Linked DNA regions of Ovis aries. The protein of the gene in region 7 purifies or fractionates together with the protein of the main gene of each other region. This does not show direct contact. Links are inferred from orthologs where the notes say so. Each region holds a gene or a part of one and is shown on either strand. Other genes may lie near its edges.

Region 1 (3,797 bases), on a different chromosome or scaffold from region 7:
AGCAGTTTAGATTCTGGTTTGAGCTGCCATCTATTCCTCCTGTGTTTCCATTCCAAGAGTAGAGGGCAGCCTATTTGCTGAATCATCATCACACAGAGAGTCCACCTAGGCCCTGAGCTCGCGAGGGTAGCCCCTTCCTCTCGGGTTTCTCTTGCATTTTCCCACAGACCTCAGGAACCACCTAGATAACAGGGCAAACTAGTAAGAAGTCTCTGGAGATCCTCCGCTAAGCACCTGTTGCCAAATGGGAGAGGGGTCCAACTTCTAGGGCTTCAGGGACCTAAAGCATCAGTCTGGGTCCCCAGCCCCTTTTCAGCCAAGAGGAGGTGGTACAAACATTTGCCCTCCTGGGAGCTCCTAGTACTTCTGAGTCGTTGGGGGTGGGCCTGGTGCCCTCCTCATCAGAGCCTCCTGGGTCCTGCTGCGACCAGCCTGCTGCTCTGGATTTGCCTTTGGTGCTTTGTGCAAGGTTGTAGCTTCTGCTGGGCTGGGGGCTCTGGGACTGGCAGGGTTTGGTATGCTTTGACACCTGAGTGCCACCCCCCACTTCCTCCTGCTGACCGCCACTGTTGCCCCTCCAGGTGCAGCATGTGGTGTCTCAGAACTGCGACGGGCTCCACCTGCGAAGCGGGCTGCCCCGCTCAGCCATGTCGGAGCTCCACGGGAACATGTACATTGAAGTGAGCGATCCCTCAGGGACTCGGGCCTGGGCAGGCCAGCGGCTCCCACTCACGGGCCCTACTTTTCCTCAGGTCTGCACGGCCTGCACTCCCAATAGGGAGTATGTGCGGGTGTTTGATGTGACGGAGCGCACTGCCCTACACCGGCACCAGACCGGCCGCACTTGCCACAAGTGTGGAGGCCAACTCAGGGACACCATCGTGCACTTTGGGGAGAGGGGGACGCTGGGGCAGCCTCTGAATTGGGAGGCAGCCACCCAGGCTGCCAGCAAAGCAGACACCATCCTGTGTTTAGGCTCCAGCTTAAAGGTATGCAGATAGCACCATGGATGGGAATGGGGTGAACCTGCCTGCATCTGGTCAGCTCAACCTTAGACCCCATCTTCCTGTAGCCTCCTTATCTGGGTTGTGTGTCGTCTGTCCGTCTGTCCATTCCTGCAGGTTCTAAAGAAGTATCCACACCTCTGGTGTATGACCAAGCCCCCCAGCCGGCGGCCCAAGCTCTACATTGTGAACTTGCAGGTAACTCAGGTGCTCAGAGCCGCCTCCTCAGACCTGGGCCTTAGAACAGGAGAGCCAGCCATCCCTAGGACATCTGTGTCCCACAGTCATCCACTGTGGAGGTCTGGCTGAGCAGAGCCCAAGGCCAGCAGGCTGTTGGGAAGGAGTGAGGTGCTGTCCTCACTTACCTTCTCCTGTCCCCAGTGGACCCCGAAGGATGACTGGGCTGCCCTGAAGCTGCACGGCAAGTGTGATGACGTCATGCAGCTCCTCATGGATGAACTGGGCCTGGAGATCCCCCGTTACAGCAGGTGAGGGGTACAGGCGCGTCCCCCACTTCCCTGCCCCGTGTGGATGGGCCGTGTCTGTCGTCCTCTGTGAGCTGAGTGTAGAGAAAGCTCTGAGGTGTGGCAGCTGGCATCTAAGGCGTGACTGTGGCATGGTGGCCTCTGCAGGGCCCAGCCCCAGCATTGGCTGAGATGTCCTGGCTGGTGTGATTCCTGCGGGGAGAGGGAATCTGCCAGGGTATGCCTGGATGTCCCCCCTTCCCCTCAGGCAGCCTGGACGGGAAGGTGCCTTGAAGGGATGTGCTCTCAGCAACTCTGCTCTTCAGGATCTGGGTGCACTTGGCTTGGGGAACTGGAATACTTTGGGGAAGCTTAAACAAATTGTGGCTTGATACAGAATTTGTGATAATTTAGACGTGGTGTGTGTATTGAGTAAAAAGTTTACACTTTCTTTCTCTGTGAATTTCCAGGGTCTTATAGGGGAAATCAATAACTTCTTTTAATCAAAGGGTTCAAGAATTAAGGATCCCTTCACCTTCTGGGCCTGGCAATTCTTGTATGTTATGTTTGTGGTGTTCTGTAATGTGGGCCTATTGTGTACTGTACTTTTTTTTTTCACATTAACTTAGCTCATTTTCTTTATCAGTGCTTATCTGTATCTTAAGTTTATAATATGTGGTTCTACATCTCAGACACATGATCTCGTCACGGTGTAGTGTTTAGGCCACGCCTCCCTAGTCAGCTTTCCTCCTGTCAAGTCTGGGAAGGGGAAGAGGGTCTGGTCTGCCTGTCCCTGGCCTTATGAGTGAAAGGTGGGGCCCAGGGTTGGCTAGTGACTCATCCTTCCTGGGGTTAGTGCCTCCCCAACCCCTGTGTGCACAGCCCCCTCAATCACCAACGAGGAGTGAGTTCTGCAGAGGACAGGCTAGTCTGGGTCCTGGCCTTTGAGTTATTGGGGGAACTTACCTCTCTCACAGATGTTCTGGAGCTACCACTGAACACAGCCCAGCCATGGTTAAGACACGGGAGGGATGCAGGGTGACCTCAGTCAGCTTTCCCGTCCTGGGGCGGGTTGTGATTGCGAGGGGCTCCATGGCACACCTGACCCAGCTTTCCCTTTCCGTAGGTGGCAGGACCCCATCTTCTCCCTGGCGACTCCCCTGCGTGCTGGTGAAGAAGGCAGCCATAGTCGCAAGTCACTGTGCAGAAGCCGAGAGGAACCTGGGCCTGGGGACCGGGGTGCACCACTTAGCTCAGCCCCCATCCTGGGTGGCTGGTTTGGCAGAGGCTGCACCAAACGCACAAAAAGGAAGAAAGTAACGTAACCTGGTGCTTGACCAAGGACAATGATGGCACTTTGAAAATGGCCGGGACTCTTATTCAGGGGCAGGTGGCACCATTAATGCCAGGACTGCCCCCTGAGAATTATCTGGGGGTGACATTTTCACCCTGACATGTTTAGCCATTTGTCCTCGTGGGAAGCCCCCTTGCACTGCTGTGGTTGTCCCCTGCATGAGCCTTGCTCAAGCGGCCTCTTCCTAAAGAGGTGGCAGTCACACCCTCTGTGATAACAGAACTCCGGTTATTTCACATCTGGCCAGCTAAGAGGAAGCACAAGGCTGCCTTACCTCATTCACCAGGCCAGTCTCAGGGGCATCAACCCAATTTCTACTACTTCTTACTGAAAATGTTAAGTTTATAGAAGCCTTTTTCTGTATTGAGTATGCTGCAAAGGGGTGATTTTTGAGCCTTGGCTCTCAGCAGGCCTTTTTATTGTTATTAAACATCTCTGCACTGTCTTCCCCGTGTCATCGACTACCTTCCTGAAGCGGTGGGTGGGAGCAGGCGCCTGCCGAGACTCCTGAAGGGGCGGGTGCGCCCCACGTGGTCCTGCCCCGCCCCTCTGCCAGGTGGGCGCTAAGGGATGCTGGACACAGGTCATTGGCCGGGAGCGGAGGGGCGGAACCCGGCTCGAGTGGGGTTGCCCATTGGCCGCATGTGTGGTGAGAGGGCGGGGCTTCGCGCCGGGGGTGGGGCGGCGTTCGCCATTGGCCGCGCGAGGCGGGTGAGGCCCGCGTGACGGCGCGTGCGTGCGCGGGCTGCGGCGGCTCGGAGTCGGGAGCCGGCTGCACAGTGTCTCGCCGCTGCCCCCGGGCCATGATCCGGAACGGGCACGGGGAGGCGGGCAACGCCAAGCGGCCGGGCCCGAGGGCTAGGCGCGCCGTGCGAGTGTGGTGCGACGGCTGGTGAGCGCGGCGGGGGACGCGGGGCGGGGGCGGGGGTGCGGCGGCGACCGCTGTGGCCGCTTTCGCCGGAATCGGGCCGCCGG
Region 2 (4,037 bases), on a different chromosome or scaffold from region 7:
TAGCATTTAGGCATTCAAAAAAGTCAAGGACTTCAAAAGAAAGATCTCTGCCTGAAATACCAAGTTATCACCAACAATGACACCAAACAAGTTCTCAGATTCAAACAGAATTCGAGTTTAAAAATATGAAAAAATCAAAAGAATAATATTAATAGCAACCAACAATGAGAAAGCAGGTCACTGACATCTAAAGAAAATTCCCATCAAGTATTGATAGAATCGTTCTAGAAGAGTCAATTGGAACTCTTTCTCAACAATAAAGTACACCAAAGCCTGTACAAAGGTCGCAATTTATTTTCTGTAGCTTTAAAACTTAAACCAATTCTTGAAAAAGTTATCATAAAACAGCATGACTTGAAAATTCTCCCTATGTTTTGCATAGTCAGCTAATTTAAAGGCTCTAAAATCAGTCTGGTTCACTCCATCCCCATGAAGTGTATGTCACTAAGTTCTTAGGCAATTGTCATCAGGCAATTGCAAAAAAAAACAACAAAAAACACAAAAACGTAATTCAGATGCAATGAAACAGAATGCCGAGTACTCTCAGGCGACCTCTCACATTCTAAAAGCAATGGTGTGAATTTATCAGCAGGTTGCTCAATCACAAGAAAGGCAAGATCCTAGCAGTGCTTACATTTTTCTAATCCAGGGCCAGAAAGACACCGACAAGGTTCGCCGGACATCTCACACCTCCACGACCCCAGTCCTCCCAATAGCCCCGAACGCATGGGCCCCGCAGGGCCTGGGGTCCCCCTCACCGTCACTGCACTTATACTGGCAGAGCCCGTCCTCGCCTCCCAGCAGGTCCAGGGCGGCGTTCAGGTACATGTCAATCTTGTGAACGCCGTTCCGGATGGTCTTCAGGGTGGCCCTCCAGTCGGTGGTCTGGGCTTGCTCCTGGCACCTCCCAGCGGCGGTCAAGAAGAGGACCAGGAGGACGGCGAGCAGGGCCATCCGCGCAGCGCCAGGCCGCGCCCGGCCCACCCCACGGAGACGTCGGCGCGCCCCAGGCAGCGGCGCGGGTCCGGGGCTAGGCAGGGGCGGGCTCCATGCCCACGCCCCGCGCCCGGCTGGGAGGCGGGGCTCGCCGCGCGCAATGAGCTCTCCGGCCCGGAGACCGTGCCGCGGCGGAGACGCCGGGCGAGGCGCACGCGCGGACCCGGGCCGGCCGCTGCGCTGTGCGCCTGCGCGGAGCGTGGTGCGTCGGGGGCGCGGGGCAGGTGGGAAGGCGAGTGACCCCGGCTGCCTCCCAGCTGGCGAGGTTCTCCCGAGTGGCCAGGTAGGCGGTACCACCTGGTGCTCGTTAGTACTACCTTAGAGGTTGGTTGTACTAACTAAATACCATGCCGGGCCCCATATCCCAGACAGGCTGATTAAGTTCATCCCGGAGTCAGTGGGCATTGTTATATTTTGAAAGCTCTTCGGGTAATTGAAGGGTGTAGCGAGGTGGTGAACCCCCGTGACCTCCTCTGACTTGGGGGTGTGCGGCCCAGCCATCACGAGCCGAGCGACAAGCTATTCAGGGTGTAGACAGCGTCGGAGAAACAAGCCCCAGTAGGCCCTTGCAGAGAGCGTTGCGAGGGAACCAGCTGAATCTGGGGTTTGAAACCGTGATTCTGCGTGATACATGGGATGAGAGTTCAGATTGGCAGTCTCCGGGTCTTGGGTCCTCACCGGTCTTCTTGGACTGCGGTGGCCGCGGTTCGGGGGTGGGGACTGGAACATGTTAACCCAGGCCCTGGGGTGCCTGGCTGACAATGTAGATGCTGGTTGAGAAATTTTAGAAGAAAATGGTTTGACAATAAAAACCACGAGTTTTCTTCCGTAATAGGGAAGAAGCCATGCTATAAACTTGAAAGCATTAAAAACAAAAACCCACAATTTTCCTACTGAAGATATGGTGTAGCTTCATGGCTCCAGTGACGTTTCCCTGTATTTTTAATCCCAGCGCAGTGCAGCATCCTGAAATAACAATTGCAGTAGTTTTTAGCAGAGCTATAAATACCTAGTTATTTTAGTATCCTGGCAATTTCCAAGAATTTTACAATAAGATCCAGGGTAATACTGCAAGTGTTGAGAATGGATGTGACCTTTATAAGAATTACACCAATAATTCTAGCTTGGCGTTTTGTGTTTGTTAAGCTTCATGAGTTTATAATAAATGTGCAATGCAGAGTTCATAAGAATTGTATGTGTCTATATTTAGAGCTTACTCTGTGCCAGGCACTTTACAGACTCGCTCTCTTACACTCAACACTTTTCAGGAATACAGCCTTTGGACAAATTAGAACCAGAAAAGGGCGTCCCTCCCCGGCTGATCTGTGAGCCTACCCCAAGGCTAGGTTACTGGGAGCAGCCAGGCTTAAGTCTGCCTTCAGATGCTCAGTCAGCCAGGAACCTCAGGGCTGTGATCAACTCAAACCACAGTGGAGGAAGAGGAGAAACGTGCTTGAGGGGTATTAACCTTTTTTACAGTAGGGGAGTTCAAGTGCCTACAGAGAAGTCATGTGATAGGATCCAGTCAAATCAAGGCCTCTTTCACACCAGTTGCGGAATGAGAGCAGAGTCCTAACCACCGGACCGCCAGCAAATACCCAAGACCTCTTTCTGCCGTACAAGATGTCAAAGATTTTTTTTTTAATTAATTTTTGGACAGCACATTTCAAGAGCTGGGAAAAGGAAACACAGAGTTCTTTTTTGGTCTGCTTTCTGAAGCTTTGGGTTTCTCATCTCTAAAGTGTGGGTGTTGTCCTACAGTACCTCTGAGGTCCCACCTGGCTCCCTTGACCAGGCTTGGTTCTTTCAGAGAAACTTGGTGGTATAGGAATAAGTCTTCAAAAAGAAAAGACAAAATATAACAATATTACCTGGTTCCAGCCCTGTTATAGATGCCCCAAGTCTCTCCTTTATACCTTTTCTGTATATGTATTCCTGGTAATCTTACCTAATTTCTTATACTCTAAATGCAACCTCAGGTTTCCCAGGGTGCTCAGCGGTAAAGAATTCACCTAGGAATGCAGGAGACATGGGTTCATTCCCTGGGTTGGGAAGATCCCTTGGAGAAGGAAATGGCAAGGTATTCTTGCCTGGGAAATCCCATGGACAGAGAAACCTGGTGGGCTACAGTCCATGAGGTTGCAAAAGACACGACTTGGCAACTAAACAACAACAAATACAGTCCCAGCTCTGCGAATTCAGATTTTGTCCTCTTTGTCTCAGCTTTCCTTAGGGGTTAAATCCTGAAACTCCATTTCCTCTGGCTGATAGAGATCTCTTTTTTTCTCTAACAAATCTTTTATAGTATGTTCTTCATGGAAATCGCTGCCATCTTCTCAGAAAATAAGATTTTAAGTTTTATTTTCACTTTCTCTTCATAGTCAGTCATTAGATACTTGTTCTGCTGTAGTGATTCCAAGATTTGCTTTTTCCTCTCAATTCCTGCTGTCAGATACCACGGTACAGCATTGATCACCCGATCAGCCACATAATCAGGGCTGATCATACAGGGCTCAGCACAAAGTGAAAATCCAGGTCTCCTTGTTCAAAAATTATTAAGAATTTCAGGGTGTTAATGGGAGATATAGTCTGAAACCCTTCTGAGTCCAGGGTCTTGTGCAAATGCACAGGATGCTTGCTCATGAAGCCAGGCCTGATTGATAATATCATATAACTCCTAGATGACCCACCTCCATCTTTTCTTCTAACTAGTTAGCTTCAGTTCAGTTCAGTCGCTCAGTTGTGTCCGACTCATTGTGACCCCCTAGTTAGCTTAGAATGTTTGAAAAGAGCCTCCTTTACAGGACACTTTCATCTAATCAGGAAAGCCTGTATTTATTGTGACATATACTATTGGTTGCAAACCCATGGCTTCCAGATCTTTCCTGCTAGCAAATGGCTAGTTTTATCTATATACACTTTGCTTGTGGATTGGGCAGGAGCTGAAGCCAGGAAGCCAGTTAAGACATAATAAACTAGGTAAGATATTATTTTGGCTTGGCCCAAAGAGGAAGAAGTGGAAGTATGAAAATGGTCACATT
Region 3 (4,293 bases), on a different chromosome or scaffold from region 7:
TAAAATGGGATTAGAGCTACAATTGCATAAAAAGTTTTTAAACTCTTATGCACTATTAGGTAGATGCAGGTCAATTGACTATTCTAACAGGTTTTGACTTCCAACAAACTGGAAAATTCTGAAAGAGATGGGAATACCAGACCACCTGACCTGCCTCTTGAGAAACCTATGTGCAGGTCAGGAAGCAACAGTTGAGAACTGGACATGGAACAACAGACTGGTTCCAAATAGGAAAAGGAGTACGTCAAGGCTGTATATTGTCACCCTGCTTATTTAACTTATATGCAGAGTACATCATGAGAAACACTGGGCTGGAAGAAGCACAAGCTGGAATCAAGATTGCGGGGAGAAATACCAATGACCTCAGATATGCAGATGACACCACCCTTATGGCAGAAAGTGAAGAGGAACTAAAAAGCCTCCTGATGAAAGTGAAAGAGAAGAGTGAAAAAGTTGGCTTAAAGCTCAACATTCAGAAAACGAAGATCATGGCATCTGGTCCCATCACTTCATGGGAAATAGATGGGGAAACAGTGTCAGACTTTATGTTTTGGGGCTCCAAAATCACTGCAGATAGTGATTGCACCCATGAAATTAAAAGACGCTTACTCCTTGGAAGGAAAGTTATGGCCAACCTAGATAGCATATTCAAAAGCAGAGACATTACTTTGCCAACAAAAGTCCATCTAGTCAAGGCTATGGTTTTCCAGTGGTCATGTATGGATGTGAGAGTTGGACTGTGAAGCAGGCTGAGAGCCGAAGAATTGATGCTTTTGAACTGTGGTGTTGGAGAAGGCTCTTGAGAGTCCCTTGGACTGCAAGGAGATCCAACCAGTCCATCCTAAAGGAGATCAGTCCTGGGTGTTCTTTGGAAGGACTGATGCTGAAGCTGAAACTCCAATACTTTGGCCACCTCATGGGAAGAGTTGACTCATTGGAAAAGACTCTGATGCTGGGAGGGATTGGGGGCAGGAGGAGAAGGGGACAACAGAGGATGAGATGGCTGGATGGCATCACCGACTCGATGGAGTTGAGTTTGAGTGAACTCTGGGAGTTGGTGATGGACAGGGAGGCCTGGCGTGCTGCTTTTCATGGGGTTGCAAAGAGTTGGACACGACTGAGCGACTGAACTGAACTGAACGGGTTTTGAAGGAAAGCATGTCAATTGTGATTGGGTAGGGGTAACACTCAGGCGTTCCAGACCCAGCTAGTCCTCTAGCCCTGGGACCTGCATCGCCAGTGGCTACAAAAATTAAGATTCAGGACGGTTGGGTGGACTAGGCTTTCGGAGGCGGGCACTCCCCGCCCCTTACTCCGCCCCGTCCGTTGCCCCGCCCCTGGCTCCCTCTTGACCCCCCGCGCCCCGCCCCCCGGCCGAGAGCACCCCAGGCTGATTGGCCCTCAACGGCGTATCCTCGGGCCGGCAGCCAGGCCGGCGCGTCACGTGGCCGAGCGGCGACCTGGGCGCCGAGCCGCGGGCAGACAGGCATGGACCCTCCGACCGCCGGGGCCCAGGCGCTGGGGGCCGCGGAGCAGCCGCGGGGTCTGCAGCTGCCGAGCGGGCGGGAGGCGCCCCCGATTCCGGGGGTGAGCGCGGCGCGGGGCCTGGGCGCGTCCACCACCTGCGGTCGGCGGCGGGAAGTTGCGGGGGCTCGCGGGGCGTGGGCCATGGAACCGGGGAAGCGCTCCCGGCCCTCCTCGGGCAGCCCGGCCGTTTGGGCGCGCGCCCGAGCTGGAAACAGCCGGGCCGCGGGACTGTGGGGCGGGGCAACCTCGAGGACGTGGGTGGGCGCGCCGGGCTGGGAGAGCTGGCTGTTGGCTCCAGGGCGCCTTTGCGTCCTTGCTAAATGGGAGGTGATGCTGCTGACCGAGAGCTGGGGCTGCTGCTCGGGGGCCTGGGCTGGGGCGAGGTGAGGGCTGCGAGGAGAGCTACTTTCCCTGAAGGATCCGTGTCCCATGGTGGGGATGCTCAGCTAAGCCGGAGCACCGGATGATGGCTCCTGCGCGCTCTCCTTTCACTGAAACCAAAAGGCCGCGTTTGACGCAGGGTTTCTAGAAACTTGTTTTCTTTTGCGCGCCAGACAGCTCCCGGTTTCTGAAAGACTGCTATTACAGTCATGTCCTGCCCTTGTTCAATAATCCCTTTTAGACGGTGAGCTCCTTGAGGGTAGGAACGCTCTATTTAGTGCTGAAAACCCGGTGCGTAGCGTAGTGCCTGGCACTTCACACACGCATATTTATTAACTGGATGGAAGAGGAATGCTTATCTAAGCATCAGAGACATCCTAACCAAAATAAGATAGGAAAAATGTAGTGGTAGGCTTATAAAGAATATTACTTTACCGGGCAGGTAGGATGAGACTGATTTTGGCAGGCCACAGCAGGAAGGTTCCTGCACTTCCTCTCCAAGATGAGAGGATAGTGGTCGTGGCAGAGGCGTGGAGATGAGGATGTGCAGGGCAGATGGTTGGGAGCTTGGAGAGAGAACTGTGCTGCACAAGTTGATGGAGCCTGAAGGGACAATGTGGATGCCATGGCGAATTTTGTACTCTAGCAGTGGAGGCCTGTTGAGGTTTCTGGGCAGAGTGGTGATTTCCAGTGTGAGGCTGTGGCCAGATGGATGAGTGTGGGACCCTGGTGGTCCAGTGGCTAAGACTCTGTGTTCCCAATGCAGGGGACCCTGGTGGGGGCTCTCATATGCTGTAACTAATACCTGGTGCAGCCAAATTAAAAAAAAGAAAACGTGGGTGAGTGGGAAGGCAGTTAAGGAGCTCTTGCAATAGAAGAGGTGAGAAGTCCCACTATTGGTCAGCAGGGGTGACCGGGAATTGTCACCGACTACTGGAGATGGAATTAGCTCATTAAATCCAGGTAGGACTAGGTTGTGAGCTAACGAGCAGGTGCCAAGTACAGTTTAAATATAGGGGCAAAGAAGGTGGGTTTCAGCTCAATAAATGTTATATTCCTGCTGTGTGCTAGGTGTCTTCATCAGTGTTATCTCATTATAAACCTCCTGCTGGGTTAGAACAGTTGTCCCCAATTTCCAGAGACAGAAACCCAGGCATGGTGGCTGAAGTGATGTGTCCCAGGTATACTCTGAGTGAATGGGATTGAAGTCACGCCTTCTCATGCAGGCTGTGAACATTTCTCGCCTCACTTAGAAAGACATCTTCACAGGTGATAGGATTTCAGGAACGAACTCTTTTTTTGTTTTTGGCCGTACTGCCCAGATATGGGATCTTAGTTCCCCGACCAGGGATTGAACCCATGCCCCCTGCATTGGAAGCTTGGAGTCTTAGCCACTGGATTGCCAGGGAAGTCACAGGATTTCAGAACTTTTGCGCGGTGGGAGCAGAGAAACCTAGCGATGGCTATGAAGGAAGACGATTTCCTGTCAACCGCTGATTTCCCTTGAACAGCTAAAGCTCTTTAGTCCTCCTGTGTCAGTCAGGAGATGAAATCTGATAAAAGAGCTATTAGCTAGATAAAAAGTTAAGGTAAAAATGAACATGGAGGTATCCACTGCAGGGAAACAGCAACCGGCCCCAGGGCTGAGGGAACAAAGGGGTGAGATTGGAATGACTAAAATGTGCAAGCTCAGAGGAGAATTTCAGGGAGCTGAAATTCCAGCCTCTGAGGACGGGGTGCTGTCCTGGCTAGTTTGGAGTCTCTGAGCTTGGAGGAGGAGACCAGACCTCTCAAGACAGGGCCTGGTGAGGGACTTCCTTGGTGGCCCAGTGGCTAAGACTCCACGCTTCAATGCAGGCAGCCTGGGTTTGATCCCTGGTCAGGGAACTAGATCCCACATGCCAAAATTAAAGATCTCAAGTGCTGCAGCTTAAGAGGTGGTGCAGCCAAATACATATTGAAAAAAAAAAAAAAAAGATAGGGCCCAGCGAGGAGACTGGCTCTGTATGTGCTGGCAGCCTGTACACTGGATTCAGTAGGCACTCTGTGAAGGCAGGTGATCCTGCCGGCAGGGGTGATGCCCACAGGAATGGGAAGCAGCAAGTCCCAATGTAACAGGGCACAGTAGAAATGTGGGTTGCAGGGTCCCACCCCAGCCTCGCAAAGGAGGGTCTGAAAGGGTGGATATGGGGCTGAAATACTGGCCATTCCCGAGATATCCAAGTCCTGGGTCCTTGTTTCTTCTTCCTGCAGGCTGACCACTCCAATCAGGAGAGAGCGCCTGAGAACGCCACAGATCGGCTAGGCAAGTAGGCGACAGAGGCGGGGGTGGCTCTTGGGAGAGACCAAGGAAGTCTGTACTGTGAAAGCTTATCGTTGCCAGAA
Region 4 (4,331 bases), on a different chromosome or scaffold from region 7:
CACCCCCCAGCAAAGGAACTCAGGCGCTGGGGAAGGCGGGACTAGAGAAGGAAGACTCCGTAGCAAGACAACAGGCAGGAGTCTGGGAGGCCAGGGGCAGGCTGTCCCTCCCTGCCCTGCCAGTTGCCTGCCCCGTCTAAGGCCTCAGTTACCGGAGAGGGGACAGGCTCTCCCCAAAGCAGCTCCAAAGAGGACTTTTCGCTCCAGGGAAAGGTGACCCCTCCCCCCGCCCCGGCCGCTCAACCAGGACCCTCCTTCCCTCCATGACCGCAAGCGAGAGATGCCCAGGGGTGTCCCTGCTCAGGGAGTTATCAGGAAAAACAAACAAACCCCAACTGACCGTAGCCGGCCCGGCGGGACCCGCCGGAGCGCACACCTGCCCAGGTTTTGCTCAGAGCTCAACAGCCGGGGCCGCGGCGGCGGTCGGCCCAAGGTCGCGCGGCCGGACCCTGCCCGGCGCTCGGGCGGGGTTCCCCCCCAAACTCGATTCCCAGGCTGAGGGCTGCCCCCCAACCCTGATCCCGGATCCCCGATCCCCAGGGCCCTGCCCCGCGCCCACCGCGATCCCCGGGGTCAGGGCCGCCCCCCGATCCCCGGGGCCCTGCCCCGCGCCCACCGCGATCCCCGGGGTCAGGGCCGCCCCCCGATCCCCAGGGCCCTGCCCCGCGCCCACCGCGATCCCCGGGGTCAGGGCCGCCCCCCGATCCCCGGGGCCCTGCCCGGCGCCCACCGCGATCCCCGGGGTCAGGGCCGCCCCCCGATCCCCGGGGCCCTGCCCCGCGCCCACCGCGATCCCCGGGGTGACGGGGGGACCACACTGACCGGGCTCGAGCGGCGGCCCCGCTGCCTGCGCGTCCACCTCCGTCCTCATGACCCGGGCGGCGCGGGGCTCCCATGGCCCCGGCCCGGCGCGGGCTGCAGCTCTGGCGTCGACTGGGGACGGGAGCGCGCGGCCGGCGCGCGCCGGCTCCCCGGGCGGCCAGCACCAGCGCCCCGGGGGGAGCGGGGGCGGGAGGCGGCGGCGGCCCCAGGCCCCGCCCCGGCCCGCCCCGGCCCGCCCCGGCTCCCACGCCGGCGGCCCCCCGGCCCGCTGCTCCGGGTCCCCGCTCTCCCTGTCCGCACGCCGGGGGCACTCGCCTCGCTCGGGGCACCCCTTCCCCGGCGCCGTCGGCTTCCCAGGCTTCCCCTGCGGGGGCAGGTCCCGGCCCCGGGCCCCCGCCGCCGCCGCCGCCCGCCTCGCTGTCCAGCCCGCGTCTGGCGTCGGGCGCTGGGGACCGCGAGTCCCCCTCGGCCCGGGCCGGCCCGAGGGTCGCTGTTTCCGGCGGCACCTGGGTCCGGTCATCAGCCCCGCTCTTCCCCGGGCCCGGAACTATTGTACCCGAGCTCGGGTTCCCCAGCCGGCGCGGTAAGGATGAACGCGAAGGCGAGAGACGTCGCCCGCCGCCACTCGGGTAAAGGAAGGGGGCGGGCCCTGCGCGAGGCATTTTGGGAACGCGTGGTATTCTGGGAGCGCGCGGCCCGCCATTCGCGCCCTCACGCCTTCGCAGTCGCCGGAGTTCCGTCTGCCCTGCCGCCTCTGAAAGAGGAGCCCGGAGCCGGTGAGGACGGGGCCGGGGGTGCGGGGAGGGCGAGGGCTAGGCCGAGGTCCCGCGGGGGGCCGGGGGGCTGGAGGAGGACGCGCCGCCGAGGAGCCCTGCGGTGCTCGTGGAGGGAGAGCCGCGGGGAGCTGGGCCACCCCGACCCCCAGCGGCGCCTCCCAAGCGCCTGGAGGTGCGTTCGTTAGCTTTTTCCCCGAAGTACTTGCTCTTCGGTTTCCGAACCTCTCCAGGCCGGTGTTTCTCGAAGTATCCAGGCAGTGGTCTTGAGATCGTTCCTGGCTGGTGGCCACCTTCCCCCCAGATCCCTACTTGGCTGATTTCTTTTCAAAGCCCTTGGCATCTCTGCCTCCCTCCCCCTTCCAGGACCTGATCCCCTAACGCTGGAAACACAGGTTATCACATTTCCTTGCTTCTGTCTAAATCGTGTTGCAGCGTCTTGTAACTCCGGCTGCCCTTCCGTGGGGTAGTCTCTGTGCTGCCCCGGTTCCCCCAGCTGCGGTTCAGCGTTGTCCTCAGCAATGGAACCTGTTTTTTCCTAACCTCTCCCGGTCCTTTTCCTCTCTTTCGACCTCCTGCTGCGTGTCAACCGAAAAAATACCGCCACCTAAAAGCTGAGAATTAGGTTTATTCGGTGGGAATCATGAGGACTCCGAGCCCGGAAGACAGGATTTCAGGCGACCCCTGGGAGAGAGAAATGTTGGGTGGGGTGGAGTCAGGCTACAAAGAAGTTTGCAGCAAGGGGCAGGTAATCTGAATATTAAAAGATGACTGTTGAGTAATGGAGACCAGATCTCCGGCCTGAAGAGATTTAATACTTTTCTGTTCTTTGGGAAGATGCAAGAGTCCGGGCTTCCTGAAATCTTTTCTTTCACATGCATCTCAGCTATCTGGGGCCAATTCCTGCTTTTCGGCTGTTCACAGCCTAATTCCTCCTTTACCCTAAAGTTAAGGTACGAGGGACCGCCTCTTGTGCTTCTGACATCCCCCAGCTCCTCAGCACTTACAGGAAGTAACGGACAGCTGCCAAAAAGCCAGTATGGTTTTTACCTGGGCTTAAAAATTTGCATTTGGAAGGCTGGAATACCAGATGGCTGCGACGTGCCTTGATTACTGGAGAGCAGAAAGCATTTCATTTTACAGAAGTTTTCGTTTTATACACCCGTCTTGGGATTGAAAAAATCCACTTGCTTTTTTTCTCTCTTAATTAGATCAAGTCGGGGTTCTCCCTGGTTATATTTTCCCTCCAGGGTGAGCGTTTCCCACTTGTAGCACGCCGCCACCTTGTGAACACTTGGATATTTTCTCTTTAGCTTAATGGTGAAGTAAGTAGACGGTCAGAGTGCTTAATGGGTTGAATTAAACGCACAGCCCCGTCTGAGCTTCCCAGATGGCGCTAGTGGTTAAAAAGACCTCTTGCCAGTGCAGGAGATGTAAGAGACGTGGGCTCCATCCCTGGGTGGGGAAGATCCCCTGGAAAAGGGCGTGGCAGCCCACTCCAGTATTGTTGCCTGGAGAATCCCACGGACAGAGGAACCTGGTGGGCTACAGTCCATGGGGTCGCAGAGAGTCAGAAAAGCGACTTAACATGCGCACTCAAGAGCCCTGTGGTGGAAGGAAGATGGGAGGCAGCTCTTTCCCGTCAGCTTTCCCCCTGTTGAGGCCCTGTTCCTCCCCACTCACACCCTGCACGTGTTTGCCAGATGGGTCCTTCAAGCTCAGAATTCAGCTAAAAAAAAAACTAGTGCACCTCTGGCAACTTTGCTGAGTTTTCCAGAGTGTCAGCCTTGAGGGGTTGTGGTGTTTGCACATGCGTTCTTGGGCGTCGGAAGATGAGCTAACTGCTGTCTCTCTCTCACCGCAGAACTCTCTTCCTGCCGGGATGTCTATCGGAGTGCCGATCAAAGTCCTCCACGAGGCCGAGGGCCACATCGTGACGTGTGAGACGAACACTGGCGAGGTGTATCGGGGCAAGCTCATCGAGGCGGAGGACAACATGAACTGCCAGGTGCCCTGCTCTGTGCGGGGCCGGGGCGGGCCGGAGCCTCGGAGGGCAGGGCGCGGGCGGCTGGGGCTCCTTGAGGTTCTTGCTCAGCGGTGGTTCACCGAGTGCCTAAGCTGTGCCAGGCCCTATTAGAGGTGCCAGAGAGGCGGGCATCAGTGAGAGCCTCTTGGAGGTTGAGAATATGAAACCTAGAATCTGACTGTTTAGATTGCTCGTCCTTCGCTGCTCCCAGTCCCGTGGTTGTCTTCTCACGGACTTTGGGCCCATTTAAGAGAAGCAGCACAGCCTTCCGGAGGAGGCAGTGGCACCCCACTCCAGCGCTCTTGCCTGGAAAATCCTGTGGACGGGGAGCCTGGCGGGCTGCGGTCTGTGGGGTCGCACAGAGTCGGACACGACTGAAGCGACTCAGCAGCAGCAGCGCAGCCTTCAGCGGAGCCGTCAGGCTCAGCGCCCCCGCCCCGCACAGCGCGTTTGCACAGTGCTTTGCAGCTAGCAGAGTCTTCGCTCGCATACTCTGGGTATTTGCCATTTTCCTAGCAGAAGCACCTCGTGTGACTGCACTCGGAGCAAATACTTGGCCAAGCAAGCAGGTTTGGGTGATAGTTTTATCCATGAAATGGGAAGAATGAGATTACGGGACTCACCTGCTGAATATCGCTCTGCCAAGACGTGTTGGACCCACTGCTTGGTGCGCTTCCCTTCCCACGGCGCGTGAATTCGCATGGCATCGC
Region 5 (3,566 bases), on a different chromosome or scaffold from region 7:
CCCACCCCGCCCCAGCCCCAGCAGCCCCGGCCCTCCGTGCTGCCCCGCAGCCCCGCCCCTCTGTCCCTGCTGCCCTGAGGGTCTCCCGCCCCCACCCCTCACCGTGGCTCTGAGTGGATCGAGTTTGCTCGCAGGCACGGAGAAGGTGCGCCAGGCCCAGGAATGCGGGCAGCTGCACGTGGTCAACCCGGACTGGCTGTGGAGCTGCCTGGAGCGCTGGGACAGGGTGGAGGAGCAGCTGTTCCCACTGCGTGACGACCAGGGCAGGGCGCAGAGGTGAGTTCTGGGCGCCCAGTCCCTGACAAACACATGTGGGCGGCGGGCCTGCTCAGCCCTCGCAGCCGGCGGCTTCCCGTCTGCGGAGACGCCCATCAGTCTCTCCCCTGTGCCCGCCGAGCGGGTTGTCACCGAGAGCCCCTCTCCCTGGTACCACCTGGAGAAGGAGCAGAATTGCTGCTTCTAAGACATGAGACGGCATTCCGCCGTGATTCCTGGTTTCCAGGTGTTTCGAGGCTGGGAATGCTTCTGTGAAGTCCCGGGGTCTCTGCAGAGTCCAGCGTGGAGGGAGGTGGTGGCTGGGGAGGGTGGGTGCAGAGGTGCGTGGGCCACAGTGTGGGGAGAGCGGGCTGGCGGGCGCCCCCTGCATGAGATCAGGCGCTGGGTTTACAGGCAGGGCTGCAGACAGCCTGAGAGACAGTGCGGGAGTGCTGCCTTGGATCCAAGGCCGCGGCAGAGCCTTAGGCCTGACCAGGAACCGTGTGCCCCCTGCAGAGTCACGTCCCAGCGGGAGGGGTTGCCGGGGTCCCGTGGGTTCCAGCCCCTCTCACAGCCCTCCTTCTCTTCCGTAGGGAGGATGGCCCTGCGTCCTTCCCTGACAGGCAGAGCCTGCTCCCCGCCGCCCTGTTCCACCCAACACCCGTGCACCCCAAGGCCCCGCCTGGTCCTGAAGTCCGGATCTACGATGCCAGCACGGGCAAGCTCATCCGCACAGCCACCTCGGGCCCTGGGCCACCTGGCGCCCTGCCCCACGCGGGGCTCTCCTCCTTCAGGTACTCCACCCGCTCGCGGGGAGGTATCCCTGAGCCACGGCCGGCCTCGAGGAGCAGGCTGCGTGTGGGGCAGGCCTTGTGCACGGTCTCCCATCTGGTGCGGGGCTGGGCCTGAGGAGGTGTGGTTCTGCCTGGACGGGCACGTGGCCCTCCTCTGCCCAGGGTCAGCGAGGGAGCAGGAGGCAGCCCTGGCTCTCCTGCCTTGCCCTGCCGGCTGCATCTCTGGGACACAGGGCGGGCCTGTCAGGAGCAGCTCCCGCCCTGCGCAGGCACATGGGCCCTGGAGACTAGGCTGTGTATCTGTCCTGCTGCTGGGCTCCAGCTGTGGACAGACAGTATACTCGCTGGTTGAGGCCAGTTTCAGTTAGGTGTTGGTTGGTGGTTTTGTTATTTGAAACTAAGAGCGTGGTCACTGATAGAGCTTTGATTTTTTTTTTCATGACGATGTGACACTTAATCGTTTCGATAGACGCGTCGTGAGCCTGTGTGGTGCTTTTGTTCCTGTGGAGTTGCTTTCTGGCTGGGTTAAAGGTCGTGGACATCTCTGACTCTGATAAATGGGGCAGTTGTTGTTGTTTCGCCCAAGGCTCGCTGAGCCCTGTGGTCCTGCCCGGCAGCCTCCAGCCCTGGCCCATCTCGGACACACGACTGTGCTGGGACACGTCTCTGGCCGCTGCAGCCCTGTAGACCCGCCTCCACCTCACTGGCCGTCGCCTCGCATCCTGAGTCGATGCTTCTTCCTGGCTGGCTTCTGGGAGCTCTGCCCTGGTCCTCCTGGGTGGCGGTCGCTGTGAGAGGGCTGCGTCACTGCCTGGGTCAGGAGACGCTGGCCCCGTGCTGCCGGCCGAGCGGTGCTGGCTCCTTGGGCATGTGGACACTGGGTGGCCTGCTGGGGTTTTCTTTGAGGTGATTGTCGCGTTCTCTGTTAGGTCCTCCCTGACGGAGAGCAGGTGTTCGGGTGGTGGGTTGAGGGCCCTGGAGCTGCGCTGGCCTCAGTGTGTGTCTGTGGAGGGCGCGCCATCTGGACAGAAGCGGCCCAGTGTTTCTAGAGTAGCTGGTGTAGCTTATCCTAAACAGCGTTTGGGTTTTGGGGTGCAGCTCTGTGTTCTGTCATCCCAGAAGCTTCACGGGGCTCTCGTTCTGTGGCGCTGGTCTTGCCGCTCCTCGCGCGTGTGTGGCGTGTCTCGCTTGTCGCAGCGTGGCGCGTGCGCGCTGTGTACTCAGCTCCTCGCGCGCGTGGCGTGTCTTTGTGTGGCGTGTCTCGCTTGTCGCAGCGTGGCGCGTGCTCGCTGTGTACTTATTGCCCCACTGAGCTGCTCTCCAGAGTGTTGCAGTGAGCTCCGTCGCTGAGGTTCCTCCTTGTGAGGGTGAGCCTGACGGGGTGCAGGGCTCGCCTCCGAGCGTCCAGCCCAGGCCACCCCCTGGGCCATCCACCCTTTCCGGTCTTGTTTCCTGGACATGGCGCCTTGCCCACACGTGTGCGGAGGGCAGGGTGGGCTGCACTCCCGGGGGCAGCATGCCGGCGTGTTCTGATCCGGAACCCCAGGGCAGACCCGGTTGTGACCGGACACCACAGCTGTTGGGCGGTTGCTTCCGTCTGATACTTGTTTGGGAGTCGTAAGTCTCGGGAGCTCCTGCTTTGATGTTCTGGTTCTGGGCTAAGGTGCCAGCCCGCGAGGGGCCTGGAGTCAGAGGTCCTTGGGGAACATGGGTGGAGCGCCTCTCACCAGGATCTCCGTGTGTAGGTCGCTGCTGGGACTGTGGAGGGGAGAGCAGCTGCCGTTCAGAGCCGCTGGGCTGGGGCCCAGGTCCAGGCTGCCTGCGTGGCAGGCGCAGCTCCACGGCGTCGCTGGGCCAGGGCCGTGTCTGGAGAGCAGGGTGCGAGGTCGGGGCCACGGCAGCATGCCTCACACGTGTCTCCCAGTGGGTCAGCCGCTGAAACAGCTTCTTCTATGCCCCTTCGTAGCTGAATGCTGCAAGTTGTGAATGTCTTGTCTTTTTTTAGTATAGGTTTTCTTTGGAGATGATTGTGGGGGAACAGGCAGTTAACAGAAATGGCAGAGAGCCCAGGGACCCTTTAACCATCTCCCCCCAGTGCCCACATCTCCAGACCTGCTGCCCGCATCGAGCTGAGACGCCCATCCCGACGGTCCAGACCTGGAGTGGCCACCCCCTCTGGGCCCCCTGCCATCCCCAGCTGCCCTGCCCACTCCCGCTGGCCCCCTTCCCCCAACCACCTCCCACGGCCCCCCTGGTCTGTGCCCGTCCCTGTCCTGTCGTCCGAGAGCACGGGCTGGTGGGCTGGCAGCTCCGCCCGGCTCGGCTCCCTGGAGACTCTGCCCCAGCGTCGCTGTGTCGACTGCTCAGAGGGCGTCGTGGTGTGAGGTGCGGCAGTTTCTGTGACTGTCCACTCGCTGCGGACACCGGGGGCATGTCCAGCTCTGGACTCTGAGAGACAGGGCCGCTGTAAACGTGTGCGTGTCTCTGCTTCTCCCAGGTTGGCCATGGGGGCTGCTA
Region 6 (3,306 bases), on a different chromosome or scaffold from region 7:
TATCGGTCAAAGGACCACATCGCCGGAAGTGTTCCGCACAAGTGCTGGCTCAGCGTCTCAGGCAAATCGCTGAGTCGCGGACAGGCAAGTGCCCCGACCCTAAGAGGAGGTAAACAGTTCGTGAAAAGCCTTCCTCATGTGTTCCTGGAGGCAGCTCCATGTCACGGCTTCTCAGGGAGCTCTGCTGTGAACAGTGCTTGCACAACAGAGATGGAGGCTGAGGACAGGCAGTGTGGGTGTCCCACTGGCTCCCACCCACAACTTCCCTCCCCCACCGCCCCACAGAGGGGAAGGGGCTCCCCTACTGCCCAGACCCCCATTTTGCCTTCCACCTTTTGTAAGAGGCTGCTGAGGGTCATGGGAACCAGTGTCCCATTGAAATGCTTCCCCTTGGTGAGAGGCCACAGGGGGCAAAAGGAAACTTCTTGCGTGGGGGCTGTGATTTCCTGAGGACACTACAACTAGATTCACCCAGTGGTTCAAAGGAATTATGGATTTCGCAGTTTGTAGTTGTATTTGTTTTTATTTTTCTAAGACAAAGAGGGAGAGAAGAAGGGACGGAATAGGGCCCAGCATCATCCCCCAGAACAGCTTCTGAGGCATACGTTTGCCTGGATCCATTTCGAAAAGGCAGTTTCAGGGTCCGTGTTTCAGGAGACCCTCCAGGCTATCAATCTCAGTGCAAACAGCTGAAAATAAAAACCTCCCGTCTGTTTACCACACAGAATGCAAAACAAACCTGTTTGGAAAATGCCTGCCCTTAAAACAAGAGTGAGGGCTTTAACGATGCATTAAACACAGAATCTTCCAGGAATCCAGTTGGCTGCGGCTTCACAAAACCAGAAGCACAGAATTAACATTTCCAACCATAGAACTGCTGGCTAACAAAAAAAGAGGAGGACCACCAGAGGACAGGCAGGGGGTCCTCCCCGACCCCTGCCTCTTCTTTTTGTTCTGAACAGTCATAAACTGGAGACCAGGAATGCAGCCTCAGGGTGGGAGCAGGTGCTCGGCGCGGCAGCTCAGTCTCGGGAATGGAGGGGCGGCTCACTGTTTGCCCGCCTGTCTGCCTGGCTTCTTTTCTGGTTGACCTCTGCCAGTCCCAGGGATCCCACCTCGGCCCCGGCCACCGAACACACCTGTGAGACAGGAGGGGGGGTTCAGTAGAGCCAGGCTGGGAGGGTCACTGTGGGCAAGGACCAGGAACTGGAACCCTTAGACTATAGCCAAGTCGTTGAACCCCTCTGAGCCTCAGCTTTCACCTCTGTAAAGTGGGGGCAGTGACTGTACCGTCGGTGGGAAGAGCAGGTTGAAAATCTGAGATGGAGTGTCTGACCAGGGCTGGGCAGGGGTATTGCTCCACAACATTCTCAGTGTGACAAGGGATATCAGACCAGGCGCCCCAGGGGTGCGAAGGATGCCAAGAAGGACAGAGGTTGGCATCAAGTCACACTGGGGCTTGCGGGGGCGGCGGCGGGGGGGGGGATATGCTTCCTGGAAGAGAGGGCTGAGGGCCAAGGTGAGGGGGTGGGTAGTCATCAGCAGGACAAAATCAGAAGGGTTTCCAGGAGGAGCTGGGAGTACAAGCTAGGATGAGGCCTGGACTCAGCCCAGGGGTGGAGCAACGATGCTCAGCTCTGTGACTGGGGCTGCACCGGGGGACCCCACCCTGCCTTGCTGAAACAATGGGGTGGGGTGGGGTCTCTGTGTGTCCAGCCCAGAGAAGGGGCGGGGGAGCCTCCTGAGCTCTGACCTCTGCAGCCAGAGGTGGGGCTGTTTCCGAAAGGCATTTTACGTGGAGCACACAGCACTGCTGCTGGGGAAGGTGAATAGCCCAAGGGTGGGTGCAGCCCCTGCCCAGGAAGTCACAGAAGCAGCAGCCTGGCCTTCCAGGGCCCCCTTCCTCCACACGCATACAGGGGACAGGGCCAGGGCTGACAGGGTCTGCCCAGCCTCATCTCTAATGGAGCAAGACCCAGCTTGGGCAAGGGGAGCCTGGTCATGCAGGGGCCCCTATGCAAGCGCCTCTCCCTGTCCTCCCTGCTCCTTCAGGCAGTTTACTCGACAGCGATGGCACCCTGGGTGGGCAGCCTAGCCCTGGGGGCAGGTCCTGGGACCTCTGGGGCCCTGCTCACCCCCATCCTAGGTTCTTCTCCACCTGCGGTGCCCTCTTCTCTCTGGCTCCTTTCTGTCACTCAAGCCTCAGCTCAGGGGGGCTCCTATGTCTTTCCTGGCTCTGCATATAAGCCTCCAGGGTGGGTTCCTGGAACCTGGCATACAAGCCCCTCCAGGTGGGTGAGACAGAAGTCGGGTGGGGGAGGGTGGGGCCCACAGCTGGCCTCTGGGCTGCGGCTCTAGCTGACTGCACGTTTAGTTTTATGCAAGATTTATGATTTCAGGGTGGTGCGGGGTGATCTACCCAAAAGGCGTGACCTTGGTTTTGTCTAAAGGAGTCACAGCAGGGAAGGGTCCCAGGCTGGGCACCACGGGGATCTTCTCCGCAGGGGGGAATCTGAGCCTCCCCGAGGTGCCCAGAGCACCTGCCAGGAAACACAGGTGGGGCTCAAGTCCCAGGTCTGTGTGGGTGCTGGGTTAGTCTGCTGGGCGGCATCTGGAGCTGAGGGAGCACCAAGAGCCACTGCGGGGAGGAGGGCCCATGTTGTGAGGATGGGCGCGGCCAGCACTGACCACTAGGGCTTAGCTGGGCTCCTGGGGTGGGGGACACGGGGCATGCAGGTGGCAACCAGCAGCACCAACTGTTCCACAGAAGAGCCCCGTGAGTCACAGCCCCCCAGTGCCATGGAGGAGGGGCGCAGAGCCAGGCCCTCGGCAACATGACGCCACCAGCGGAGAATGCCAGCACTGGGCCAGGCCAGATGCCGCGCGCGGCAGTCACGCTCCAGCGGGGAGGCCCCGGCTGCCTGCCAGGGGAGAGGGCGGAGAGAAGGGCCTACCTCGCCCGGCGCCCCCCATCCCGCGGCCCTTCTGCTGCTTCTGCTGCTGCAGGCCACCGCGGCCACGGCCCTTGGCCACCACCTCCTCCTTGACCATGTCGATGATCTCGTCAGGGATGCGCAGGTACTTGATGGTGCTGCCGCGGATGTAGCACTCGGGCATCCGCCAGAATTTGTCCCCGTCCTGCAACAGGGGGTACGTGTCAGAGCCGTGGGGAGGAACGTGTAGGCAGCCGGGCAGCATCCATCCACTCAGGCTCCCTGTGCCTGGCGTCGCCCCCGCAGGGTACGAGGCCCCTCCTTCTGCACAGGACGTGGGAGGGCCGCCCTCCAGCAGGCTCTCTCCAGACCC
Region 7 (4,256 bases):
AGTCTTTGCTACCACTGACAGCATGTGTGCCAGAGCTCAGGACACTGACTGTAGACACGATGTCATCGTGCTCATACTTGCAGAACTTGCTGACAATAAGCGTCTCATTCTCATCCAGCTCCCACAATTCAACAGCACCTGTTGAGGGTGGGGAAGACGGTGAAGGAAACAAGCTGGGGTTACACCAAGACAGCACTTCACTTCTAGGATGCTAAGTTCTTGAGAGACAAGGATGACACCTCCACAATGATATGAACAGCACACAGTTTAGTATTATTAAATAGTCCCAGTTATTTGGACATTAATTGTCCCAGCTTTATCCTTCCATGCAATGCCTGCCAACACCTCTATTCTTTTTTTTTTTTAAACATGAAACCCTCCACTGGTTTTTCCACTAAGTCTGACATTCAAAACAAAGAAAGCAGAATGAAGACATGTAAGAAACTGGGAAGAAATGGAAAGAGCATAGACTGGTTTCAGCATCATCTTTAAGATCAATATCATCCTTGATGTTGGGTGGATACAGAGAAAAACAGTTTCATTCATGTCTTAATTTTGTTATGAATTTTGCTAGAAATTTCCACCAATTTGGAATCTTGGGACGGGTATATCCTACCCACACAGTTATTCTCCTTTGGGACCAAAACCTTCAAGCTCCCCCAAGCAAGGAGTATGTTGTTGCTATTGTTCAGTCTCTAAGTCACATCGAATTCCCTGTGACCCCATGGGCTACAGCACACCAGGCTTCCCTCTCCTTCACTAACTCCTTGAGTTTGCTCAAACTCATGTCCATTGATGAGTCAGTGATGCCATCCAACCATCAAATCTTCTGTCGTCCCCTTTTCCTCCTGCCTTCAGTTTTTCCCAGCATCTGGGTCTTGTCCAATGAGTTGGTTCTTTGCATCAGTTGGCCAGTGTACTGGAGCTTCAGCTTCAGCATTAGCCCTTCCAAAGAATATTCAGGGTTGATTTCCTTTTGGATTGACTGGTTTGATCTCTCAAAAGTCTTCTCCAGCACTGCAGTTCCAAAGCATTAACTCTTTGGCACTCAGCCTGCTTTATGGTCCAACCCTCACATCCATACATGACTAGAAAAAAAAGTTGTTTTGTCTATATTGGACCTTTGTGGGCAAAGTGATATCTCTGCTTTTAATACGCTGTCTAGGTTTATTGTAGCTTTTCATTCAAGGAGCAAGCGTCTTTTAATTTCATGGCTGCAGGCACCATCCACAGTGATTTTGGAGCCCAAGAAAATAAAGTCTGCCACTGTTTTCATTGTTTCCCCATCTATTTGCCATGAAGTGACGGGACCAGATGCTATGATCTTCGTTTGCTGAATGTTGAGTTTTAAGCTAGCTTTTTTACTCTCCTCTTTCACCTTCATCAAGAGGCTCTTTAGTTACTCTTCACTTTCTGCCATAAGGGTGTCATCTGCATATCTGAGGTTATTGATCTCTCTCCTGATTCCAGCTTGTGCTTCATCCAGCCTGTTATTTCCCATGATGTACTCTGCATATAAGTTAAATAAGCAGAGTAACAATAAACAGCCTTGACATACTCCTTTCCCAATTTGGAACCTGTCCAGTTCTAATTTTCCACACCCAGTTCTAACCGTCACTTCTTGATCTGTATACAGGTTTATCAGGTAAAATGGTCTGGTATTCCCATCTCTTTAAGAATTTTCCACAGTTTACTGTGATCCACATAGTCAAAGGCATTAGCATAAGTCAATGAAGTAGTAGATGTTTTTCTGAAATTCTCTAGCTTTTTCTATGATCCAGTGGATGTTGACAATTTGATCTCTGGTTCCTCTGTCTTTTCTAAATTCAGCTTGAACGTCTGGAAGTTCTCAGTTCACATACTGTTGAAGCCTAGCTTGGAGGATTTTGAGCATTACCTCGCCAGCATGTGAATTGAGTGCAATCGTGTGAATCTGAACATTCTTTGACATTGCCCTTCTTTGGGATTGGAATGAAAATTGACCTTTTCCAGTCCTGTGGCCACTGCTGAGTTTTCCAAATTTGCTGGCATATTGAGTGCAGCACTTTAACTACATCATCTTTTAGGATTTGAAGCATCTCACCTGGAATCCCTTCACCGAGTATGGGACATTAAAAATTGAGCCCAGCCCGACCTCCATTCCACCTGTACAGCTGAGGAGCAAGTGACCCACCTGAATCAGAAGCCACTAGGATACCTCGGTCCCCTACCCAAGTGAGGTCAGCCACTCCGGCCTCCGTCTGGACTCCAGCAGAGCAGAAACCTTCGTTCGGAGCGGCACAAGGGTCCTTGAAAAGCCAGAGAGAGCCAGCCCAGCAGCGGCCACTCAGGCTGGAAGCCCCAAGCAGAAGCGCCCCATCTAAAGGAGATACAAGATGTCAGCATGAGGAGTGGAGAGGCTCGTTTCCCTGGTAACCGCCCAGCAGCCCGCTAGATGCATCTGGACCCGAGCCCGGGAACGCGGGGCACGGCTGGGGTGAGCTCAGCGAAGCGAAGCAGGGGTCAGGCTGGCAAGCGGGGGAATCGAGGTGCGGGCTGGAAGGTTTATTCCCAGGAAGGGGCACTCCGGGGTGGGATAAGGAAACTCCCCGGCCTAGGACCCAGGCTCACCAGACCGGTACCGCGCAGCCTCCAATTGCCGCTCCATACAAGCGGGAGCATTAGGGGGAAGGTTCCACTCCCGGGCTGCCGGGGGCACTAGGGTCGGCGGTGTTTCCTTCCGCATCTCCACGGTTCCAACTTCAATCTAGACCCAGACTGGATGCCCGCCTGAGATTCAGCTCCAGGAGTCCCCACGTGGTTCCTCTCCGGCCTCCGCCCCTCTAGGCAAGTTACAGCCTCCCTACATCTCGCGAGAGCTGCTTCTAAGAGCCCAGCCGGCTTTCCCGCCTGCACCCTCCCGCAACCGGCTCTCTGCTTCTTATCGCGAGGGGTAAAAAGACGGGAAGTTGACGGAGAGGGCACGAAGTTCTCTTCTCGCGAGACTTGTGAGCGTCCATCTTGCTTCTGTCCCTGACAGTTTCTTCTGTCGGGGTCACTGGGGCGGGAAGATTGCTGTGCGAACGCTACCTGACAATGCTGTCCCGGGTGGTACTTTCTGCCGCCGCCGCAGCAGGTGAGAAGTACACACCCTGGTCCTGGATAGCAGGGTGATTGTAAAACAAGGCGTCTGTGGTTGCTTGGAGCGGGTGGGAGGAAAGGGCGTGAAGAAAAGCGCAGTGAGACTTGGGTCTGAGTGAAGAGTGAGGAGCGCCGCTCAGAAGGTGAGTGTGGGGTCCTGGGGGTAGGAATGGAGGACACATGGCCTTAGTGATTGAGCTCTGTGGGGCCGAGGAAGGGGCAAACCAGATTTCACCGTGACCTTGCTAACCTACGCTTCGTATTTTTGTAGCCCCGTCTCTGAAGAACGCAGCCTTCCTCGGTCCAGGGTAAGTGTAAGGGATGTAATATTTCCTTTGGCCCTTGCTTTATCACCTCATTTCACTTCTGGGTTAATCTGCTTTTAGCTTTAAGCCAATAATTACCTTCATTTTGGTTATATTGGAACGCTTAACGTCTAATTCACGTGTGATTCTGTAACTGCCTGGAACACTATTGTATCATCTAATAGTAGAGGTTAAGAGAAAAAGTAATGTGTGCTAACTAAACTGTTTAGAAACTGGTTTTGGTGTCTCCTGAGCCCCGCCCCTCTCCCTTGTGACCTTCAGCTAGACAGAGCTGCCGCAACCTGTATCGGGATTGCTGCTGCTGCTGCTAAGTCGCTTCAGTCGTGTCCGACTCTATGCGACCCCGTGGACTGCAGCGTACCAGGCTCCTCCGTCCATGGGATTTTCCAGGCAAGAGTACTGGAGTGGGGTGCCATTAGATTGCATATCCAAGGGCAAGTTTTGTTAAATTGAAAAATGAAACGTGTAGTTTTTAATCTGTCTCCCAGATTCCAAATTTTACTGTCAGATCAGAGAAATTATTCAGTGTTTCAGCAAATATTTATCTTGCACCTCCATAACCAAAACTAAAGAAATTATATGGTTAAGTACCTACCTTCACACAGCAGAGGAGGTAGCTATAGAGCAGTTTACAATGAGGACTCCGAAGCTGAGAGTAAACTTGGCTCCTCTGCTTAACAAGCTGTGGGACCTTAATTTCTCCATACGCAAAATAGAGAGAACAGTTTGTTATGGATTATGAGAATTAAGGGACGTTCCTGGGAACTCTAAAAACAGTGCTTGGTACATAACATGTGCTTATTATGTGCT

The links.
Region 1: the proteins of WDR77 (region 7) and SIRT7 purify together in Homo sapiens (affinity purification with mass spectrometry; 3 studies listed by BioGRID, with this or other methods). This does not show direct contact. The link is inferred for Ovis aries from reciprocal best matches to the Homo sapiens genes WDR77 and SIRT7.
Region 2: the proteins of WDR77 (region 7) and GAR1 purify together in Homo sapiens (affinity purification with mass spectrometry; 3 studies listed by BioGRID and IntAct, with this or other methods). This does not show direct contact. The link is inferred for Ovis aries from reciprocal best matches to the Homo sapiens genes WDR77 and GAR1.
Region 3: the proteins of WDR77 (region 7) and COPRS purify together in Homo sapiens (affinity purification with mass spectrometry; 3 studies listed by BioGRID and IntAct, with this or other methods). This does not show direct contact. The link is inferred for Ovis aries from reciprocal best matches to the Homo sapiens genes WDR77 and COPRS.
Region 4: the proteins of WDR77 (region 7) and SNRPD3 purify together in Homo sapiens (affinity purification with mass spectrometry; 3 studies listed by BioGRID and IntAct, with this or other methods). This does not show direct contact. The link is inferred for Ovis aries from reciprocal best matches to the Homo sapiens genes WDR77 and SNRPD3.
Region 5: the proteins of WDR77 (region 7) and CTDP1 fractionate together in Homo sapiens (co-fractionation; 3 studies listed by BioGRID and IntAct, with this or other methods). This does not show direct contact. The link is inferred for Ovis aries from reciprocal best matches to the Homo sapiens genes WDR77 and CTDP1.
Region 6: the proteins of WDR77 (region 7) and LSM4 purify together in Homo sapiens (affinity purification with mass spectrometry; 3 studies listed by BioGRID and IntAct, with this or other methods). This does not show direct contact. The link is inferred for Ovis aries from reciprocal best matches to the Homo sapiens genes WDR77 and LSM4.

The regions. Positions count from the first base shown.
Region 1 is NC_056064.1:50,478,319-50,482,115, forward strand, and holds the end of SIRT7 (NAD-dependent protein deacetylase sirtuin-7), read left to right. Parts: intron 1-581; coding exon 582-989; intron 990-1,072; exon of another isoform or gene 1,073-1,121; coding exon 1,122-1,202; intron 1,203-1,385; coding exon 1,386-1,492; intron 1,493-1,938; exon of another isoform or gene 1,939-2,024; intron 2,025-2,594; coding exon 2,595-2,793; 3' UTR 2,794-3,267; downstream 3,268-3,797. Other genes in the region: PCYT2 (ethanolamine-phosphate cytidylyltransferase), read left to right, coding at 3,626-3,714. UniProt on the Homo sapiens protein: NAD-dependent protein-lysine deacylase that can act both as a deacetylase or deacylase (desuccinylase, depropionylase, deglutarylase and dedecanoylase), depending on the context. Specifically mediates deacetylation of histone H3 at 'Lys-18' (H3K18Ac).
Region 2 is NC_056059.1:16,020,132-16,024,168, reverse strand, and holds the start of GAR1 (H/ACA ribonucleoprotein complex subunit 1), read left to right. Parts: upstream 1-1,190; 5' UTR 1,191-1,279; intron 1,280-4,037. Other genes in the region: PLA2G12A (group XIIA secretory phospholipase A2), read right to left, coding at 759-954. UniProt on the Homo sapiens protein: Required for ribosome biogenesis and telomere maintenance. Part of the H/ACA small nucleolar ribonucleoprotein (H/ACA snoRNP) complex, which catalyzes pseudouridylation of rRNA.
Region 3 is NC_056064.1:18,000,734-18,005,026, forward strand, and holds the start of COPRS (coordinator of PRMT5 and differentiation stimulator), read left to right. Parts: upstream 1-1,450; 5' UTR 1,451-1,488; coding exon 1,489-1,587; intron 1,588-4,161; coding exon 4,162-4,213; intron 4,214-4,293. UniProt on the Homo sapiens protein: Histone-binding protein required for histone H4 methyltransferase activity of PRMT5.
Region 4 is NC_056070.1:71,547,519-71,551,849, reverse strand, and holds the start of SNRPD3 (small nuclear ribonucleoprotein Sm D3), read left to right. Parts: upstream 1-1,482; 5' UTR 1,483-1,598; intron 1,599-3,459; 5' UTR 3,460-3,477; coding exon 3,478-3,603; intron 3,604-4,331. Other genes in the region: protein GUCD1, read right to left, coding at 1,138-1,342. UniProt on the Homo sapiens protein: Plays a role in pre-mRNA splicing as a core component of the spliceosomal U1, U2, U4 and U5 small nuclear ribonucleoproteins (snRNPs), the building blocks of the spliceosome.
Region 5 is NC_056076.1:861,549-865,114, reverse strand, and holds part of CTDP1 (RNA polymerase II subunit A C-terminal domain phosphatase), read left to right. Parts: intron 1-134; coding exon 135-276; intron 277-848; coding exon 849-1,049; intron 1,050-3,566. UniProt on the Homo sapiens protein: Processively dephosphorylates 'Ser-2' and 'Ser-5' of the heptad repeats YSPTSPS in the C-terminal domain of the largest RNA polymerase II subunit. This promotes the activity of RNA polymerase II.
Region 6 is NC_056058.1:4,695,232-4,698,537, reverse strand, and holds the end of LSM4 (U6 snRNA-associated Sm-like protein LSm4), read right to left. Parts: intron 3,139-3,306; coding exon 2,955-3,138; intron 1,140-2,954; coding exon 1,048-1,139; 3' UTR 504-1,047; downstream 1-503. UniProt on the Homo sapiens protein: Plays a role in pre-mRNA splicing as component of the U4/U6-U5 tri-snRNP complex that is involved in spliceosome assembly, and as component of the precatalytic spliceosome (spliceosome B complex).
Region 7 is NC_056054.1:88,869,577-88,873,832, forward strand, and holds the start of WDR77 (methylosome protein WDR77), read right to left. Parts: upstream 2,807-4,256; 5' UTR 2,726-2,806; coding exon 2,611-2,725; intron 2,360-2,610; coding exon 2,174-2,359; intron 139-2,173; coding exon 1-138. Other genes in the region: ATP5PB (ATP synthase F(0) complex subunit B1, mitochondrial), read left to right, coding at 3,076-3,115, 3,392-3,428. UniProt on the Homo sapiens protein: Non-catalytic component of the methylosome complex, composed of PRMT5, WDR77 and CLNS1A, which modifies specific arginines to dimethylarginines in several spliceosomal Sm proteins and histones.